Linked DNA regions of Nothobranchius furzeri. The protein of the gene in region 2 interacts with the protein of the main gene of each other region in a pairwise test. Links are inferred from orthologs where the notes say so. Each region holds a gene or a part of one and is shown on either strand. Other genes may lie near its edges. The genes, in order: copb2 and copb1.

The links.
Region 1: the proteins of copb1 (region 2) and copb2 interact in a two-hybrid assay, tested with the Homo sapiens proteins (2 studies listed by BioGRID, with this or other methods). The link is inferred for Nothobranchius furzeri from reciprocal best matches to the Homo sapiens genes COPB1 and COPB2.

Annotation. Positions count from the first base shown.
Region 1 is NC_091751.1:58,294,015-58,302,803, reverse strand, and holds the start of copb2 (coatomer subunit beta'), read left to right. Parts: upstream 1-3,706; 5' UTR 3,707-3,835; coding exon 3,836-3,838; intron 3,839-4,222; coding exon 4,223-4,360; intron 4,361-4,473; coding exon 4,474-4,560; intron 4,561-4,917; coding exon 4,918-5,044; intron 5,045-5,166; coding exon 5,167-5,315; intron 5,316-5,507; coding exon 5,508-5,654; intron 5,655-5,883; coding exon 5,884-5,983; intron 5,984-6,075; coding exon 6,076-6,218; intron 6,219-6,354; coding exon 6,355-6,554; intron 6,555-6,666; coding exon 6,667-6,777; intron 6,778-6,872; coding exon 6,873-6,961; intron 6,962-7,043; coding exon 7,044-7,150; intron 7,151-7,262; coding exon 7,263-7,406; intron 7,407-7,610; coding exon 7,611-7,741; intron 7,742-7,916; coding exon 7,917-8,124; intron 8,125-8,237; coding exon 8,238-8,348; intron 8,349-8,452; coding exon 8,453-8,667; intron 8,668-8,750; coding exon 8,751-8,789. Other genes in the region: retinol-binding protein 2-like, read left to right, coding at 997-1,069, 1,183-1,361, 2,138-2,239, 2,353-2,403. UniProt on the Homo sapiens protein: The coatomer is a cytosolic protein complex that binds to dilysine motifs and reversibly associates with Golgi non-clathrin-coated vesicles, which further mediate biosynthetic protein transport from the ER, via the Golgi up to the trans Golgi network.
Region 2 is NC_091749.1:61,886,848-61,895,636, reverse strand, and holds the start of copb1 (coatomer subunit beta), read left to right. Parts: upstream 1-1,383; 5' UTR 1,384-1,540; intron 1,541-3,309; 5' UTR 3,310-3,374; coding exon 3,375-3,465; intron 3,466-3,702; coding exon 3,703-3,932; intron 3,933-4,066; coding exon 4,067-4,236; intron 4,237-4,303; coding exon 4,304-4,418; intron 4,419-4,652; coding exon 4,653-4,745; intron 4,746-4,834; coding exon 4,835-4,972; intron 4,973-5,110; coding exon 5,111-5,230; intron 5,231-7,871; coding exon 7,872-7,979; intron 7,980-8,076; coding exon 8,077-8,223; intron 8,224-8,335; coding exon 8,336-8,481; intron 8,482-8,789. UniProt on the Homo sapiens protein: The coatomer is a cytosolic protein complex that binds to dilysine motifs and reversibly associates with Golgi non-clathrin-coated vesicles, which further mediate biosynthetic protein transport from the ER, via the Golgi up to the trans Golgi network.

The DNA.
Region 1 (8,789 bases), on a different chromosome or scaffold from region 2:
TGAGGAGTTCTGGTTTCTGTATCTGGTCCTTCTCCTTTAGAGCATATGTGCACACATCTGTCCCAAGCTCAGACTTAAATCCAAACTGATTATCTGAGATTTTTAATGCATCTAAGATGGATTACCAAAATATATGGACTTTTGCACCATGTTCTAATTTTTTGAGCATCACCTGTTTGTTTCTCTGTGAGCTTTCTTTTCTCTGCATAATTAAAAAATAAAATTCCAAAGAGTAATGGCCTATCTATATAATCTTTGAACTAGGGTTTTGTCTTTTTGAGAAATTATTTTTGTTTCCTCCTGCCTCGGGTCAGGCTGAATGTGACTAGACACATAGAAACGTTTTAAACCAAACATCCTTTAAATAAAAAATCTGCTGTATTTCAGTTGCACAACCACGTTGACCTTTATTAACCTGCATGTTCAAATCCAGACAATTTCACTTACTCAAACACAGAAAATCACTAAATAAAGATTTTTTTTAAATAGTACACAGCTCCTGTTTTCTGCTGCAGAACACCGACCACCACAGCAGTGAGTGTCTGGTGCTCGTTTTGAAAAAAGAATGATGATCTGGTGTCTGTGTGAGCACTTGTGACCTCGATACCGGCACAATAACCTCATAAATCAGGTGGTAAGTGGCAGAGGCTGAAAATAAAGGTTAGCAGTCCCGCTGGAAGCAACCGACTCAAGATAAACATCTGCTTTATGTTATAGAGAAGCAAAAGTCAGGCAGATGCAGAAATCTCCAAAGTTAGGGTGAAAGAGTAAAATGATAATTACCATATTAATTAATTAATTGGGTCTGGAAGAGAGTGGGTTTTCTCCCTTCTTTAAAAAAGAATAAAAAATTATCCCTGCCGATTGCTTAAGAGCAATAAACTCACTCATCAATAGTTATCTGGCCCTGTGCCCTCTGACTTACATAAAAGCAAGAGAACAACCTGCCCTGCCCCTTAACTTTGCCCCAGGTCTGCTCACCGCAGCATCACCACCATGCCTGCAGACTTCAATGGGAAATGGACACTGGAGAGCAGTGACAAATTTGAGGATTACTTGAAAACTCTGAGTAAGAAACTTCACTTCACATTTCTGAACATTCAGAAGAGATGAGCTGCACCTGCTGTGAGAGTGAGATGATAATATTCCGCATAATGAAAACTCTCCACGCTGCATTCCCAGATATCGACTTTGCTACTAGAAAAATTGCCATCTCGCTGTCTCAGACTAAGGTGATCGTTCAAGATGGAGACAAGTTTGACTTCAAAACGCTCAGCACGTTCAGGAATTATGAGCACGCTTTCACTGTAGGAGTGGAGTGGGATGAGTACACCAAGGGGCTGGACAACCGGCATGTCAAGGTTGGTCCACCTCTCATCTATAGGGTCTAATAATATATAATAATATAATACTATTGGCCAGTATTTTCTTAAATTCACATCAAAAGGTGCTTTTCTGTATCTGACAACCCTAAATAATCCCTGTCCTACCTCTCATAATCCCTGGGCTAAATATGCACTTTGTTATAGAAAAGTTCAGGGTCAAAATATTTTACATTTATGTTTTTTCTGGTTTCATTTAGTCTTTTTTTGTCAAAAAACACTTTTTAAAATCTTTTTTGTCTACAAAGGTTGGGGGTGTGTAATGAGTAGCCACAGAAGCTCTGATGCCCACTGATAAACTCTGAGCCAAGGGCTTAGCTGTTTGTTTCAGCTCTGGTTGTGTAATTAATAAACTATTGTGTCATTCTGGGACATCTCTGATTATCTGTGAGAGTTCATCTGTTCACTCCACTGATTTTCTTCTGCCTTTTATTATAGTGAACATTTCTTTTTGTTTTCAGCCTCCCTGTATGTGAAACAGTAATACAGGCACTCTATTTGGTCACTGGTTATGTCGTGTTAGTGGTGATGTTTGACGACGTCAGGTTTTCTTTACTTATAGTTTATTAACTAAAGGAATTACAGATATAACATAAATAACTTATTGCTAATTCAGTCTGCATCAATTAGAGAATATTTGTGATTACCCACTAGGCTGTCAAAATAAGGAGACTTGTGTACTTGTGTACTCTAATCTCTTTATTGTACTGATATTTTACTTAATTAAATAATTTGAATATAAATGTTTTTTGTAGAGTTTGGTAAGATGGGAGGGGGACACACTTGTGTGCACGCAGAAAGGAGAAAAATGCAACCGCGGCTGGAAACACTGGATTGAAGGAGACAAACTCTACCTGGTGGGTCTTGAACTACAGTCATGTTAAGGTTGCTTTATCAAATCAAAGATACTTTATTGATCCCAGAGGGAAATTAGCCATGCTGAATAATACTGAGAGTTTTTGTTTCACAGGAGCTGACATGTGAAGATGTGATTTGTGTTCAAGTGTTCAAAAGAAAATAATAGCGTCTGTCCTTATTGTCACTAGGTTGATAAAAAATAGAATCTACATGTTTTCCAAGCATTTTGAATCAATAAATGATCTTTAATTATTCATTGTGTTGTATTTTATTTGTTAGCGTGCAAATCCCTCATTCTGTCAAGGCAACAACACATGTGTTTGGAATAATTTAGAAGAGTTTTGCTTCTAGTTTAACTTTAAAAACCCAGTTCCTTTTTCTGCTTTTACTCATCTTCCTCATCATCCTTAATTTTATTATTCCCAAGAGGACAAAATGGAAGATTAACATTTTTTACAGCTTAATTAAGATAAGGAGGCTGAAATATTTTCTTCTAAATGGGTCACGGGTTCGATTCCAGCTCCCGCCAGGTGTATCCTGCTGTCGTGTCCTTGGGCAAGACACTTCACCCAACTTGCCTGTGTTAGTGGTGGTCAGAGGGGCCGACGGCGCCAAATGGCAGCCTCGCCTCTGTCAGACCTCCCCAGGGCGGCTGTGGCTACAAGTAGCTTACCATCACTAGCAGTGTGTGAATGTGAGAGTGTGTGAAAGCGTCTTTGGGTGTCTTGAAAGCGCTATATAAGTTCAATGCATTATTATTATTATTATTAAAAAAATAAAAAAAAGTACCCGCGTTCAGACACTGGAGGGCAGCAACTCCCCATCTCCCCGTCTTTTATAAATGCTGTTGGAAACCAAAGTGTTGTTCTGTTGTTTTGCCAGTAGAGGGCACAAGTTCTCCGTTCTGTCAAGGCAACAAAACATTTTATTTGGAAGAATTTAGAGAAAGTGTTTTTACTAAGTAACAATTTAAATTAAAAAATCCTGTTCCTTCTTCTGCTTCTACTCATCCTTCTTCTCATCCTTAATAGTAATACTCCCAAGAAGATTAAGATAAGGAAGCTGTGTCCAGGACGAACCAAGACCCCCAACCTTTACCCTCATGAACACATCAAAAGTGAATAATTACAAGCTTTATACAGGCATACTAAGATATACTTCTTATGCAGAGTTTTGATTATACGATTTGGTGTGTTTTGGGGCTTTTATACATTTAACTTTTGAAAATATAATCTTGGTAATCCCACACCCCACTGTAATCTTTGGGTTTCACGGATCCCAGGTTGCGAACCACTGAGTTAGAATAAATATTAAAATTACAAGCTTAAATATTGTTTAAAAAATGTCCATGTAATTCAGTAACTTTATTTGAGTTACAACAGCAACTTGCAACCTACAAAAAATAAAAAAATAAAAAAATAACTTGCAACCTACAAGCTTCCATGTCACGTCAGCAGTTCCAACACAGTTCTCGCGAGATTTCGTTTCAGGAAGTTCCACGTCAGTGTCCTGCAGAACGCTGCTCACTGAAATCGCAACATTTGGACTCGATTGGACGTTAATCGGATCTAGCAAAGACATCCAGGGCGGAAAATATGGTAAGCTGTAGTTTAGAAAGTTATAAGTGTGCTTCTTTTCGATAAATGTCACCCGAGATTCAGTTTAATCTTTAAACAAAAAGAATGAAATGCTTAAAAGAGCCTAGCGGCTAACTAGCTTAAGTTTGCATAGAATATTGTCTCTCAAACACGTTTAAACCTAAATGTTAATGTCACATATATCTATCCTTATTTTTCAACGAATTAGTCACAGATGAATGTGTGACTGATCAACTGAAATAGCGAAAAAAACAGTTTTAATTTCATTTGTTTCTGATGATTGATACATTGGTGTTAAGTTGACGTTCTGCTACTACTAGCTAACAGCAACAAAGTACAGTTTGAATAGTGTCTATTAACACATTGGGTTTATTTTTATTTAAGCCTCTGAGGCTGGACATCAAGAGGAGGCTAACAGCCAGGTCGGACCGGGTCAAGAGTGTGGATCTTCACCCAACCGAGCCATGGATGTTGGCCAGTTTGTACAACGGCAGTGTCTGTGTGTGGAACCACGAAACGCAAGTATGGAATACACCCAAAGAGTAAAACCTTTGATCTGTGCACCATATAAACAAACAAATATGTGAAAAACATCTATAAAAATCACAATCAAAGTCGATCTGTTTTTATTCCAGACTCTGGTCAAGACGTTTGAAGTGTGTGACCTGCCTGTCAGAGCTTCCAAGTTTGTGGCAAGAAAGAACTGGGTGATCACAGGAGCAGTGAGTCACAGGAATTTATTTGTTTTGAGCCTACACCTCTAAAAGCTTCTGTAATATATATATATATATATATATATATATATATATATATATGTATATATATATATATATATATATATATATGTATATATATATATATATATATATGTATATATATATATATATATATATGTATATATATATGTATATATATATATATATGTATATATATATGTATATATATATATATATGTATATATATATGTATATTAGTGTAAAACTGCTATTTGATGTTATTTTAGAGTTAAAACTTTTACTAGAAAACTTAGGAAAAACTACACTTTTCTACTTTATTCATAATTTCTTTTCTCTTCACAGGATGACATGCAGATCCGTGTGTTCAACTACAACACCTTGGAGCGGGTCCACATGTTTGAAGCCCACTCTGACTACATCCGTTGCATTGCTGTCCATCCAACTCAGCCATACATCCTCACTAGCAGTGGTACACTATTTACCCTACTAAACCTATATTTTCTACAGCTTTAAATGCAGCTGTGGCTCTGATTAGGCTTATGTATCCTTTTTTTGGGCACTTGAGCGTGATTGTGTTTTATCTTTGTGCAGACGACATGCTGATCAAGCTTTGGGATTGGGAGAAAAAGTGGACATGCAGTCAGGTGTTTGAGGGTCACACTCATTACGTCATGCAGATCGTCATCAACCCCAAGGACAACAACCAGTTTGCGAGCGCTTCTCTGGACAGAACCATAAAGGTAGATTTTTCTGTTTGTGCAAATGGATAAATGGAATGTAAAACTGTATATAAGTGTAGATTATTGTTTTTAATGAATGTGTGTAAGATCAACAGCTCCTTTATATTTGATTTGGTGCAAAGGAGTCAGTGGTAAGAAGCGTACTGTGTCTGATTATTTTTGTACAGTTCTCTCTCTCTTTGTGTTGTACAGGTTTGGCAGCTGGGCTCCTCATCTCCTAATTTCACTCTGGAGGGTCACGAAAAGGGAGTAAACTGTATTGACTACTACAGTGGAGGAGACAAGCCCTATCTGATATCAGGGGCTGATGACCGCCAAGTCAAAATTTGGGACTACCAGGTTAGAGAAGTTTTATTTGGTTATAGTTATAGTGGCATGTACACAGAATTTAAAGTAAGTCACCAAATGGGGAAAACTGCATTAATTTGAAAAAGTACAGACTATTTGTTTTATCTCGCATTAGAAAAAGCCCAAGTTAGGTATGGTGATTTTATTTTTTGGTCTTTGTAAGTTTTATCTAGCATTTCCTCTACATACATTTATATCCCTCTTTCTCTGTGTGTTGTAGAACAAGACTTGTGTTCAGACTCTGGAAGGTCATGCCCAAAATGTCTCGTGTGTCAGCTTCCACCCAGAACTACCCATAATCATCACGGGATCAGAGGATGGTGAGAAAAAATCTCCCTCAACCATAAAATCCACAGGAACGTCCTCTCCTTATGTTGTTGTTTTGTGCAATATCGTCGTCTTTCCTCTCCAGGTACGGTTCGAATCTGGCACTCGAGTACTTATCGCCTGGAAAGCACCCTGAACTACGGCATGGAACGAGTGTGGTGTGTGTGTGGCCTCAGGGGATCCAACAATGTGGCACTGGGATACGATGAAGGCAGCATCATCATCAAAGTGAGTAAAAGGAAGATTTAATCTAAAGTTGGATTAAACTAATGCCTCAAAATTAACTTTTTAAAAGAAATCCACATTAAAATGAAATAAACGGTAAAAGTAAAAATGTGTACGCTTGTTTTACTCTGCGGTGTAGGTTGGTCGGGAGGAGCCAGCCATGTCTATGGACACTAATGGCAAAATCATCTGGGCTAAGCACAGTGAAATACAGCAGGCTAACCTGAAGGCTATGGGGGATGCAGAAATCAAAGATGGGGAGAGACTGCCACTGGCTGTCAAAGACATGGGTAGCTGTGAGATTTACCCTCAAACCATCCAGCATAACCCTAATGGAAGGTAAAAACACGCGTTTCACTTGTGACAGCCCCAGAAAGTCATCACTCGTCATCCGAATTTTGTTGAATGTGGAAGAAATTCTGTTGATTTGTCGTTGTTATGTGTGTACTAGATTTGTTGTTGTGTGCGGAGATGGAGAGTACATCATTTATACTGCCATGGCTTTGAGGAACAAGAGCTTCGGCTCAGCTCAAGAGTTTGTCTGGGCACACGACTCCTCCGAGTACGTCCACACGGAAAAGATGTTTTTATCATCCTTCTGGGTGGTGATTTTGAGTCACTGTTGTTTAACATTTGCTGTTTGTCTTCCTTTAACAGATACGCCATCAGAGAGAGCAACAGTGTTGTCAAAATCTTCAAAAACTTCAAAGAAAAGAAATCTTTTAAGCCAGATTTTGGAGCAGAAGGTAATCAGACGAGTGCCGTTGGCTAGATTTCCAGATTGAAGACGGTCGTTTTATTCACTGGATCTGCATTTCTGCTCTGCAGGGATCTACGGGGGGTTCTTGCTGGGAGTTAGGTCGGTGAACGGACTGGCGTTTTACGACTGGGAGAACACAGAGCTGATCCGTCGCATTGAGATCCAGCCCAAGCATGTAAGACTTGAGTTACCTTGTCCTTTTACATACATGATACTCTATTTGAATCACGCTTTAAATGTTTTAGTCTGATTTTTCTTTTCTTTTTTTTTTTTTTTGGCTTGTTCAGATCTTTTGGTCAGACTCGGGGGAATTGGTCTGCATTGCTACGGAGGAGTCCTTCTTCATTCTACGTTACCTGGCAGAGAAAGTAGCCGCCTCCCAAGAAAACAACGAAGGTGTGACAGAGGACGGGATTGAAGATGCCTTTGAGGTCAGTGTGTAGATGAATGCCCGTTGCGGGAAGCCCGTATTTTTAACGCATTGTTCACCTGGCAGCTGTGTCTCTTTGCAGTGTTTGTAGCACGTTCCTAATAAACTAGAGGGAGCTGTTTTAAACTGACAGTTACTGAGCCGTACTGGTGTGTCTTTTGCGTGTATTATTTGCTAACCTTTTGTATGAATGTCCTATCCTCAGGTCCAGGGGGAGATCCAGGAGATTGTGAAGACTGGACTTTGGGTGGGAGACTGCTTTATCTACACCAGCTCTGTGAACAGACTCAATTACTTTGTAGGAGGAGAAATTGTGACTATTGCACATCTGGACAGGTAAGAACAGGTTGTTTAGGCCTTACTTATATAGGATAAGACCATGCAAGCACTACATTTACATTTATCAGAAAAAAGCAGTTCAGCGTCGATAAACGGACAGTCACACCTAGATAAAGAAGTAACACTAAACACTGGTGCGTAGTTCCATCCACAGTTTTTATTGTCCTTGCAGAACCATGTACCTGCTGGGTTACATACCAAAGGATGACCGGCTGTACCTCGGAGACAAGGAGCTCAACATAGTCAGTTATTCACTGTTGGTCTCTGTCCTGGAATACCAGACTGCTGTAATGAGAAGGGACTTTGGAATGGCAGACAAGGTGCTACCAACTATTCCTAAAGAGCAGAGGACCAGAGTGGCTCATTTCCTGGAGAAACAGGTGATGAAAACCCATAAAGACCTGCAATTATTTAATTTTTTATTTATTTTGCTCCTCATCAATGAACAGATGTGGTTTTAATTTGACACTGATGGTTTTATTTGTCTCGTCAGGGCTTCAAGCAGCAGGCTCTGGCGGTGTCTACAGACCCGGAGCACAGATTTGAGTTGGCCCTGCAGCTGGGAGAGCTGAAGATCGCCTACCAGCTGGCTGTCGAAGCAGAGGTTAGAGCTTTTGTCTCCTCACGTCGTTTTCTCGTTACTTTTCCAAACACTTTTTGTATTTGTGACTCATGTCATCACTGCTAACAAAATGTGTTTCTCTGCAGTCGGAGCAAAAATGGAAGCAGCTTGCAGAGCTGGCCATCAGTAAGTGCCAGTTCGGCCTGGCCCAGGAGTGCCTGCACCACGCTCAGGATTACGGTGGCCTGCTGCTCCTCGCCACAGCTTCTGGTAATGCCACCATGGTGGGCAAGCTGGCCGAAGGGGCAGAAAGAGACGGCAAGAACAACGTGGCCTTCATGACCTACTTTCTTCAGGGGAAGTGAGTATTTGATGTGGTGACAAACATGGTGTGCAGTAATTATAAGAAGATTCTGGATCATGTACGTACATATTCTTCTCTAGATTGGACCAATGTTTGGAGCTTCTGATCAGGACTAACAG
Region 2 (8,789 bases):
GTGTGTGTGTGTGTAGACAACAGATTTGTCAAAGTCAGCTGTTTGATTACCTCACCAGACTTTTTAACACAAGATAGCAGGAAATGTGTATTTGCTGTTTATAAAATTAATAACGACAGCACATAATTCCATTCAGTCAGACCCTGCATTGTGCACACGGCCCACTGGTCAAGAAGAGGCTGCTCTAATGTCATTAGCTGCACCTGTTCCTGCAACAACTAAATGTCTGCTAAAAGGTCAAAGAACTAATGACGCAAAGCAGTCTGGCCATTTGAACACGATGTAAACTGAGATTGCTCTGTGGTTAAATGTGTTAAACAAAATAATCAGTCAGTGTTAAAGGCTTGTAATCTTGATACCACTTCAACACCTCATGCATAGGTTTGGGTACCATTTCATAAAACTCAGAGGGTTAAAAAAACTCTGATTTAAAATATTTTCTATCTTGTTATTTTCTTCCTTTTTGTTTTTAATTCATTCTGCAAAAATCAGCCAGAGCTACTTTTTTATTGTAGTTTTGTGTATATACTGGACTTCTAAGTTTGGTCAACAAAGAAATGTTTTGGTAACTGTCGACATATTGGCAAACCTATTCAACCCGCACCCTTTGAGGTGTTTCATTGAAAATTTGGAGTCGGTTTCATTCATTCAATTTTCTGTGCACCCACGTTGTCACTCAGCTTAGTTTCCACCGGAGGGCGCTGCACGCCACTTTATTCAGTTGGGTTCCTTTCTGGCAGAAGTGTTTAAATGTTTAATTATAGGCTACAGAAGAAACATCGCAAAACAAACAAACAAACAAAAAAAATTCTGAACTGGATTTTTTTTTACCACGAGGAGGAAATCGATGTAATATGTAAAGTATAAATCTTTACTAATGTTAACTCTTCTAGCAGTACTATATTTATTAATTTTTTAGATATTTCGGCTTTTTTATGTTTTTATGGCAAGTATCCTTGATCAACTGCTGTGATCACATTTCATGCTCAGAATTTGTGTTAAAAATGAAATTTGATATACATAGAAATTTTAAATCCGTTTTAAATACAGCCCATAGTTTTAGTGTCATTTGTTTGCATTTAACAGCAAAACAATCACCAATCATATACATCTAGACACGTTGAAACTGACTTTTCTCTCACTGAAAGGGTGCATTAATACTCAATTTCTCTACTTTTATACTTGTGTTTTTATTGTGTGCTTTTGCATTATAAAAAATCGTGTTTGATTAAAGTCTGAGCAAGTGAATAAGTTACAGGTTTTCGACAACATTTTAAGTAAAAAAAAATTCGAATTATTTTAAAAAGAAAATATGCATGTCTGTAAAATGTGGGATTTTGTCCTTTTTTTCGCGCGTTTGAGCCTTCCGGCGCACCGTAGCAGTGATGTGGCTCAGTGAGCAGTCTTCCACGTTACTAGGAAGTACCCGAGAGCCGACGGGGTAGCCCTAACACCAGGAGCTCTTCTAGTTCTTTTACTCATGCTAATATTTGAAGTTGGGAATTGAAGGCGACCGTTTGGGATAAAAGCCGTGTTTTAGGTAAGTCCTGGAGCATATTATTTTCTAACGTGAGTGGATTTATCCAGTTTTTGCTACCAGCGTTAGCAACTATCAAACGTCCTCCATTTCATTGCAAACCTGGATGAAAGCTAAAGCTACTGTTGGCTAACGGTGGCTGTTTAGCTTCCCATTTTATTTCATTATCAGCCGTGTAGACGACAAAACTAGTTTTTATTATTATTTTTTTTTACAATTCTGTCATGTGCCGCCCATCTACGTTTAGACATTCAACGCAAAGGCGATGACATTTGTGCTTAGCTACGTACTAGCTTATTTCGCTATAGCTGTAACAGCTGCTTAATTATCGTTATTTGTTACAAAACTACTGTCAAAATTAAGTGTTTAAATCATGTGGTAAGAGGCATATGATCATAAAAAATAGCATCTACCTGTGTAACTACAGCGATGACAGGTGCCCTGTAACAAACTTTAAATTTCTCATCTTTTTACAGCTGTAGGTTTTGTCATTGCCAGTTTGATCACTACAGCAAAATGTTTAAACTCTCTCATCGACTGTTTAGCAGAAATTTAAAACTTAAAGGCAACAGTCAATGTGTGAAAATCAAGGTTTGTGAATGAAGTCTTGATCAAGATGAAAACATAAATTGCACCACCTCAAGTTGTATATTTCTAATATAAACCTCTCAGTTAGATAGATTTAGCATTGAACCAGCAACCCTCCAAATAAAGCAGCCTGGCCAATTGCTACACCAATTTTAATGAAGGCTATTGATTTAATTCAATGTGTTAGTCTTTTTTGTTCATTAGGTTTCTTGCAGAAACAATGAAAAAAGTTAACTGAGGAGTTTTATACTTTTTTAAAGGTGCATTATATAGAAATTAAGTGTAGTAAAATTTGGTTACTGAAACCACTTAAAACAACTCTGGAGCTTTTTGCCGGCCGTCGTCAAATTATAATTGTCGGCGCTGCAGTATTAGCTCGCAGGAGACACAGCAACCCCACACTCACTGATGGTAAACAGTAGGGATGGACAATGTATTGATATCGGTATCGGCCGATGTTAGTCATTTTTAACATATCGTATCGGTCCGATTAAAAAAAAGAAAAAACGGGCCAATATTATCAACCAATATTTTTTCCATCTTGTCTCCATTTGTTTGCCTGTTTCAGAGGGTGAGGGGGGTGATGTGTGATTGTTTAGTCATGTGAACTGTGAATGAAATCATCTCGGAAGTGTAAATGTGTGTGTTGTGTGTTCATAATAACCTAAATTCAGCTTTAATAATTTTCATTCTATACAAAATCTGCTGATTTTAGAAGCATTGATGTCAGTGTGTCGGTATCTGCAAATATTGGTTTTTGGCCAGAACAGTGATCTTGATATTGGTATTGGCCCAAAAATGTCATATCGGTGCATTACTAGTAAACAGTAGTAACGTCCCTCCTTCCTTTGTTTTGAAAGGAGGAAAACTGACAATTCCTGCAGCCAGCTGGATATGAAACATGTTTCAGTATAACCTTCCGTCCAAAATCACTGAAACTTTAAACTCTTTTGGGATTTTCTCACTGCAAAATTCTCACTATATTCTTACATACTGCACCTTTAACTTCAAAGTGATTGCTTCTCTTATTGATTTGTTTAAATGTGACGAATGTGATGTGTTTTTGTTTCCTCACGTTGTTTCCAGCCTCTGTGTAGATGTCTTTATACTTATTTCCAACATCTTTTGTCATTCAGCATTTGTTTTATCAGCCATTTTTTAACATTTATTTTCCATATTTGCAGGTATTACACTGAAGGGAACTTTACTGGGATTCTTCTAAATCCACCCCGTCCAACAGGCAGCAAAAATGACGGCTGCAGAAAACGTTTGTTACACACTGATCAATGTTCAGTCGGACTCTGAGCCTCCTTCTGAAGTCAGCTTAAAAACAGATCTGGGTAAAATTTCTTCTTGAGATTTTACAAAACGATTTCCTTGTTAACTGTAGTAAAGATGTAAACTTTTGTAATAATTTCTGATTGTGTATAAAGTAATAATTTAACTGGGATCAAAGATTGGATCTATTCAAAACATTTTAAAACTCGTCTTCATGTAAAATGTTAGCTGAAGGCAGGTGTCGTCAGGTAGAGATTTGAACAAATGAAATGTTTTGACATAATTCTAATGTCTTCCAGAAAAGGGAGAGATCAAAGCAAAGACCGAAGCCCTGAAGAAGGTCATAATCATGATCTTGAACGGTGAGAAGTTGCCTGGACTGCTCATGACTATAATTCGCTTCGTGCTGCCACTTCAAGACCACACCATCAAGAAGCTTCTCCTTGTTTTCTGGGAGATTGTTCCTAAGACGACTCCAGATGGCAAGCTGCTTCAGGAGATGATTCTTGTCTGTGATGCTTACAGGAAGGTAAGCTGGGGAATTGTTTTTATTTTCCACATCATTTTCAGCTGGAATAATAGCTGAACAGCTAAAATGATACGTTTGTTCTCAGTACTCTTATTAAAACAAGATTGCAATAATCGTTTCTTTTTTTATTTTAGGACCTTCAGCATCCCAATGAGTTCATCCGCGGCTCCACTCTGCGTTTCCTGTGCAAGCTGAAGGAGTCTGAGCTACTTGAGCCTCTCATGCCAGCGATCCGGGCCTGCCTGGAGCACCGTCACAGCTACGTGCGCAGAAATGCAGTCCTGGCCATCTACACCATCTACAGGTACCGATATTTTCCTGTCTTGTAATCTTCTGCCAGTGCAGATCAATAATCAGCTTTTTTATTTTAGGAACTTTGAGCATCTCATCCCAGACGCTCCAGAATTGATTCATGATTTCCTCGTGAATGAGAAGGACGCCAGCTGTAAGAGAAACGCCTTCATGATGCTGATTCATGCAGATCAGGTTGGTGGACCACTGAGCTTTAGGGGTGGGAGTTTTTAGGCCTGTCGTGATTTGGTTCAATCAGGACTCAGAGGGTTGTAACGCAGTTATGAAACTATTATTACTGAATCTAGATTTTTATTCAGAAACGTTTACATCTGCTTCACGGTGCATTTAAAAATAGATTCTCCTCCCTTAGTCCTTATAACATCCGTCTAACGAATTGTTAGCTCAACTGTGTAACCCCCCCCACAGGATCGCGCTCTGGATTACCTCAGCACATGCATTGACCAGGTTCACACTTTTGGTGACATCTTGCAGCTCGTCATCGTTGAGCTGATTTACAAGGTGAGTGGGCATTTTACTAGACTAAGTCAGGCCTTTAGGGCAAAGTAGCAAACAGATTTAACATTTGAGTTCTTGTGCTCTTTGGCTAGGTTTGCCACGCTAACCCCTCGGAGCGTGCTCGATTTATTCGTTGCATCTATAACCTGCTTCAGTCCTCAAGTCCAGCTGTTAAATATGAGGCTGCTGGTACTCTTGTGACCCTGTCCAGCGCTCCCACCGCCATCAAGGTACAGCTTCACAATTTGATTTGTGGTTTTCATGTGCATCATAAGCCGGTGATACTGATGTTGCACTGCTTTTGAGTAAGTCAGCCATTCCTCTGCTTTAATGAATTCTGTGGTTTTGTTGGGGGGGGGGGACTCCAGGCTGCAGCGCAGTGTTACATCGATTTAATTATTAAAGAGAGCGACAACAACGTGAAGCTGATTGTTCTCGATCGTCTGATTGAACTGAAGGAGCATCCCACTCATGAGCGTGTGCTTCAGGTGGGTTTAGTTACAGGTGTTTAGTTTTTGTGTTGCTTTGTTTTTCAAACATTTTCACTGTCTTTTTTTTTTTTTTTTACATATTATTTAGTTTGATATTCTTAAATGTATTGAAATACTTTTAAAAAGTTTACTTCTGTCCAAAAGTTGAACTAAAGGTGACATGTTATGCAAAGCTCACCGTTTGCATCCTTTTACGCCGTCATGTGGGTCTACTGCCTCTATAAACACTCCAAACATTAAAAAAAAAGCATCCATCTATTTTTCAGTCAGTACTTGGCCAAAAACTATAACAAGCCGTTTCTAAAAGTTCCTGTTTGTGATGTCACGTTTGTAGTGATGGGTACCGAATTCGGTACTTTTTAAGGTACCGACCGAATTCCATAGTACCGACCGAGCACCGATTCACGTCGTTTCAAACGGTGCCTCGTTTCGGTACCCGTCCTTCCTAACGAGAACTTGCCTAGACAGCTGCGCATGCGCAAGAGCGTTATGTCGTCGGTCCCTGCGAGCCAGTTGTAAACAGAGCAGTATGATAGAAAGAATGCACGCTAAAGCTTGGGTCCACTTCACTAAATGTGATGGGTAACTGGGTGATGATGAAACCAGCGACAACGATCTAAGTGAGACATCCTCATCTTAATCTGCTCCGGTAGGTAAATAAAATGTTTAAGATAACGTTAGCTTGATATGTTAGCTTCCGTTTCGCTAATGGTGCGTTCACTTTCTCCTCGGAACTCCGAATTTCTGACTAGAAGAACATGAACGCGCTCTAAAGTTTGGCTTCACTTTACTAAATGCGACGGGTGATTGGGTGAAGATGAAACCAGCAACAACGATCTAAGTGTTAGGCATCATCGTTTTAATCTGCTTCAGCAGTTAAATAAACTGTTTAAGATAACGTTAGCTTGATATGTTAGCCTCCATTGCCACCGTTGTTATCAGCTAATGGTGCGTTCGCTTTCTCCTGGGAAATTCTAACTTCCCAGTAGGAAAAATCAAATGAAAAAGGACGGCAAAAGGAATGAAGATACACAGTAAATTTAGTTCACAGTAAAGATGTTTGCTTCAGTTTAATTATCAGCTTATAAAACTACAAGGACGATGTTAAAATACAAACAGTTGTATGTTATTTATCGTGATATTTATCAAATATGGTTATATGTTGAGAAAAATATATATTTAATTATAAAAGAGAATTAAAAATATTAAACACTCAAAAGTATCGAAAATTGGTACCGTTAAGTACCGGTATCGATTCGTAGGTACCGGGAATTAGTACCGGATCAATTCAAATGTCAAAGGTACCCATCCCTACACGTTTGGGGACTTTAGTGAAGATCACGTCTCACTTCTAAGAGTAGAGCTGCTGCTGGAGGAGCAGCGGTGGCTCTACTCTTAGCTCCTCCCGGATATCAGAGCTTCTTATCTTCTAGCAGCCTGACTGGGTGTATCCAGCTCCCGCTTGTTATTTAAAGTGACAGAGCTCTGAAACTGCTGAAATTGTCAGGAATACAACTGCTCAGATTGCTTTATGTGAGAGAGGTTTAGTCTAAAAAACTTCATAAACGTGTTGATAATAAACCCTAGAACTATTATAACTTCAACTGGAGCTTCACTGACAAACCAATTTTTACTTATTATTTTTGATCCATCACTCTTGAGTTTTTATGCAGGCCAAACATGTAAATAGTCTCCTACATAGGGTTCTGATTCCAAATCATCGTTTCGATTCCGGTTCCTATAGATTCTTTCAAGAGGCAGGATCCAAAAACGACATGTTTGAAATGAGCCAGCTAATTGTAGGTCTTACTCGAAATGATCTGAATTTCAACGTGATCTTTTAATTCTACGAACAATAACATCACCTTAAGTTAAACATCACTTCATCAGTCTTGGCAAGCGCGTTTGTTTACATTTTTGCTGCCGTGTACCGGGTGTGAGGGAAGGAAGGGTGGGGATGCGATGCTGCACTCAGGATCTCTACGAGCTGAAAAGTAGAAGCGAAAGGCAGGTGGTATGATCGGCTCTGAAAAGCATTGATCAGAATCAGCAGATCAGGTTTTTTTAACGGAGCTCGGCCGCAGATTCTTCTTCCGGTCGGCGGACTGGGATTCGATATAAAAACATTTCAACACGGTGCCCAACCCTACTTCTACACCTATCTCCTGCATTAGCCTCTGATAGAAAATAGACGGTGAAGGCTGTTGTTGGTTTAGCGTCCAGGAAACATCAGAGAACATCTCAACTAGTAGAAGCTAACTGCTAGCATTAGAAACTCCATCACACAGCAAAACTCCTTCAGGCGTGTGTAATTTGTGGAGGTAAAACATCAACGTTGCTGAGCAAACTTGAGTCTGTGGTAGAGTCGTGTTGCTGTTAGCCAATCAGAGGCGAGATGTCCAAATATGACATGAAATAAGACTCTAAATCCTGTCTTGCTCACCTCAACTCTGATCTAGCTCACTTCTAGTTCTTCAAACAGGCCCACTGAAGCTTCTTTTCCCTAGAGAATGACTTACAAGACATTCATACTAGACCACAGCAAATGTGCTGAAATATGAGTGGCTCTTCCTAAAGCTATTCTATATGTTGTTGGTTAAATCTAACGTTAGTTGTCACTACTTTTATCTTTATTTAGGACCTGGTGATGGACATCCTGCGTGTCCTCAGCACTCCTGACCTAGAGGTCAGAAAGAAAACCCTGCAGCTGGCTCTGGATCTTGTCTCATCTCGAAACGTCGAGGAGGTTTGTCCTACGCTGATTCGTTGGTTTCCTGCGTTGTTCCACAAAGTCCATCATAAACCTGTCGGTTAAAAAAAATCTGCATATGTTTTCGTTCCAGCTGGTGATTGTTTTAAAGAAAGAGGTGATCAAGACTAACAACGTAACGGAACATGAAGACACCGATAAGTACAGGCAGCTCTTGGTGCGCACGCTCCACTCCTGCAGCGTTCGATTCCCCGACATGGCGGCAAATGTCATACCTGTGGTGAGTTTCTTGTTGTTTTAAAACATCCCAAAAGAAAATGCCCTCAGTTGTTCTAGTCCTCCAGCAGACGCCCAGGTGCTGAGACTTGTGTGTGTGTGGGTTTAATTTAAAGCTGATGGAATTCCTGAGTGACATTAATGAGGCAGCAGCTGCAGACGTGCTGGAGTTTGTACGGGAAGCCATTCAGAGGTTCGACAACTTGAGACCCCTGATCATTGAGAAGATGCTGGAAGTGTTTCACGCCATCAAAACTGTCAAGTAAGATTTCAAAAGCACGTTTATGATTACAGCACAGAGGGCTGTGTGAATCTTTGCTTCTTGTCTAAAATCTTTAAAAAGCAGGTCAGAGTCCACTGGTGTGTAAGTAATCATTACAAAATTAGTGCTCGTTAATAAGGATTGGAAAACTGCAGGCTAAACGGAACCGAACTGCCCATTCAAGCAAAATCCATGTTTGTTGTTTTTAGCAAGTGCTGTTCTGAGACAGCGCTGATTCTTTTTCTAGATTCATGCTGCAATTCAGTTAAGATGCTGGATTATTCTTTAATTGCAACATTTATTATTTG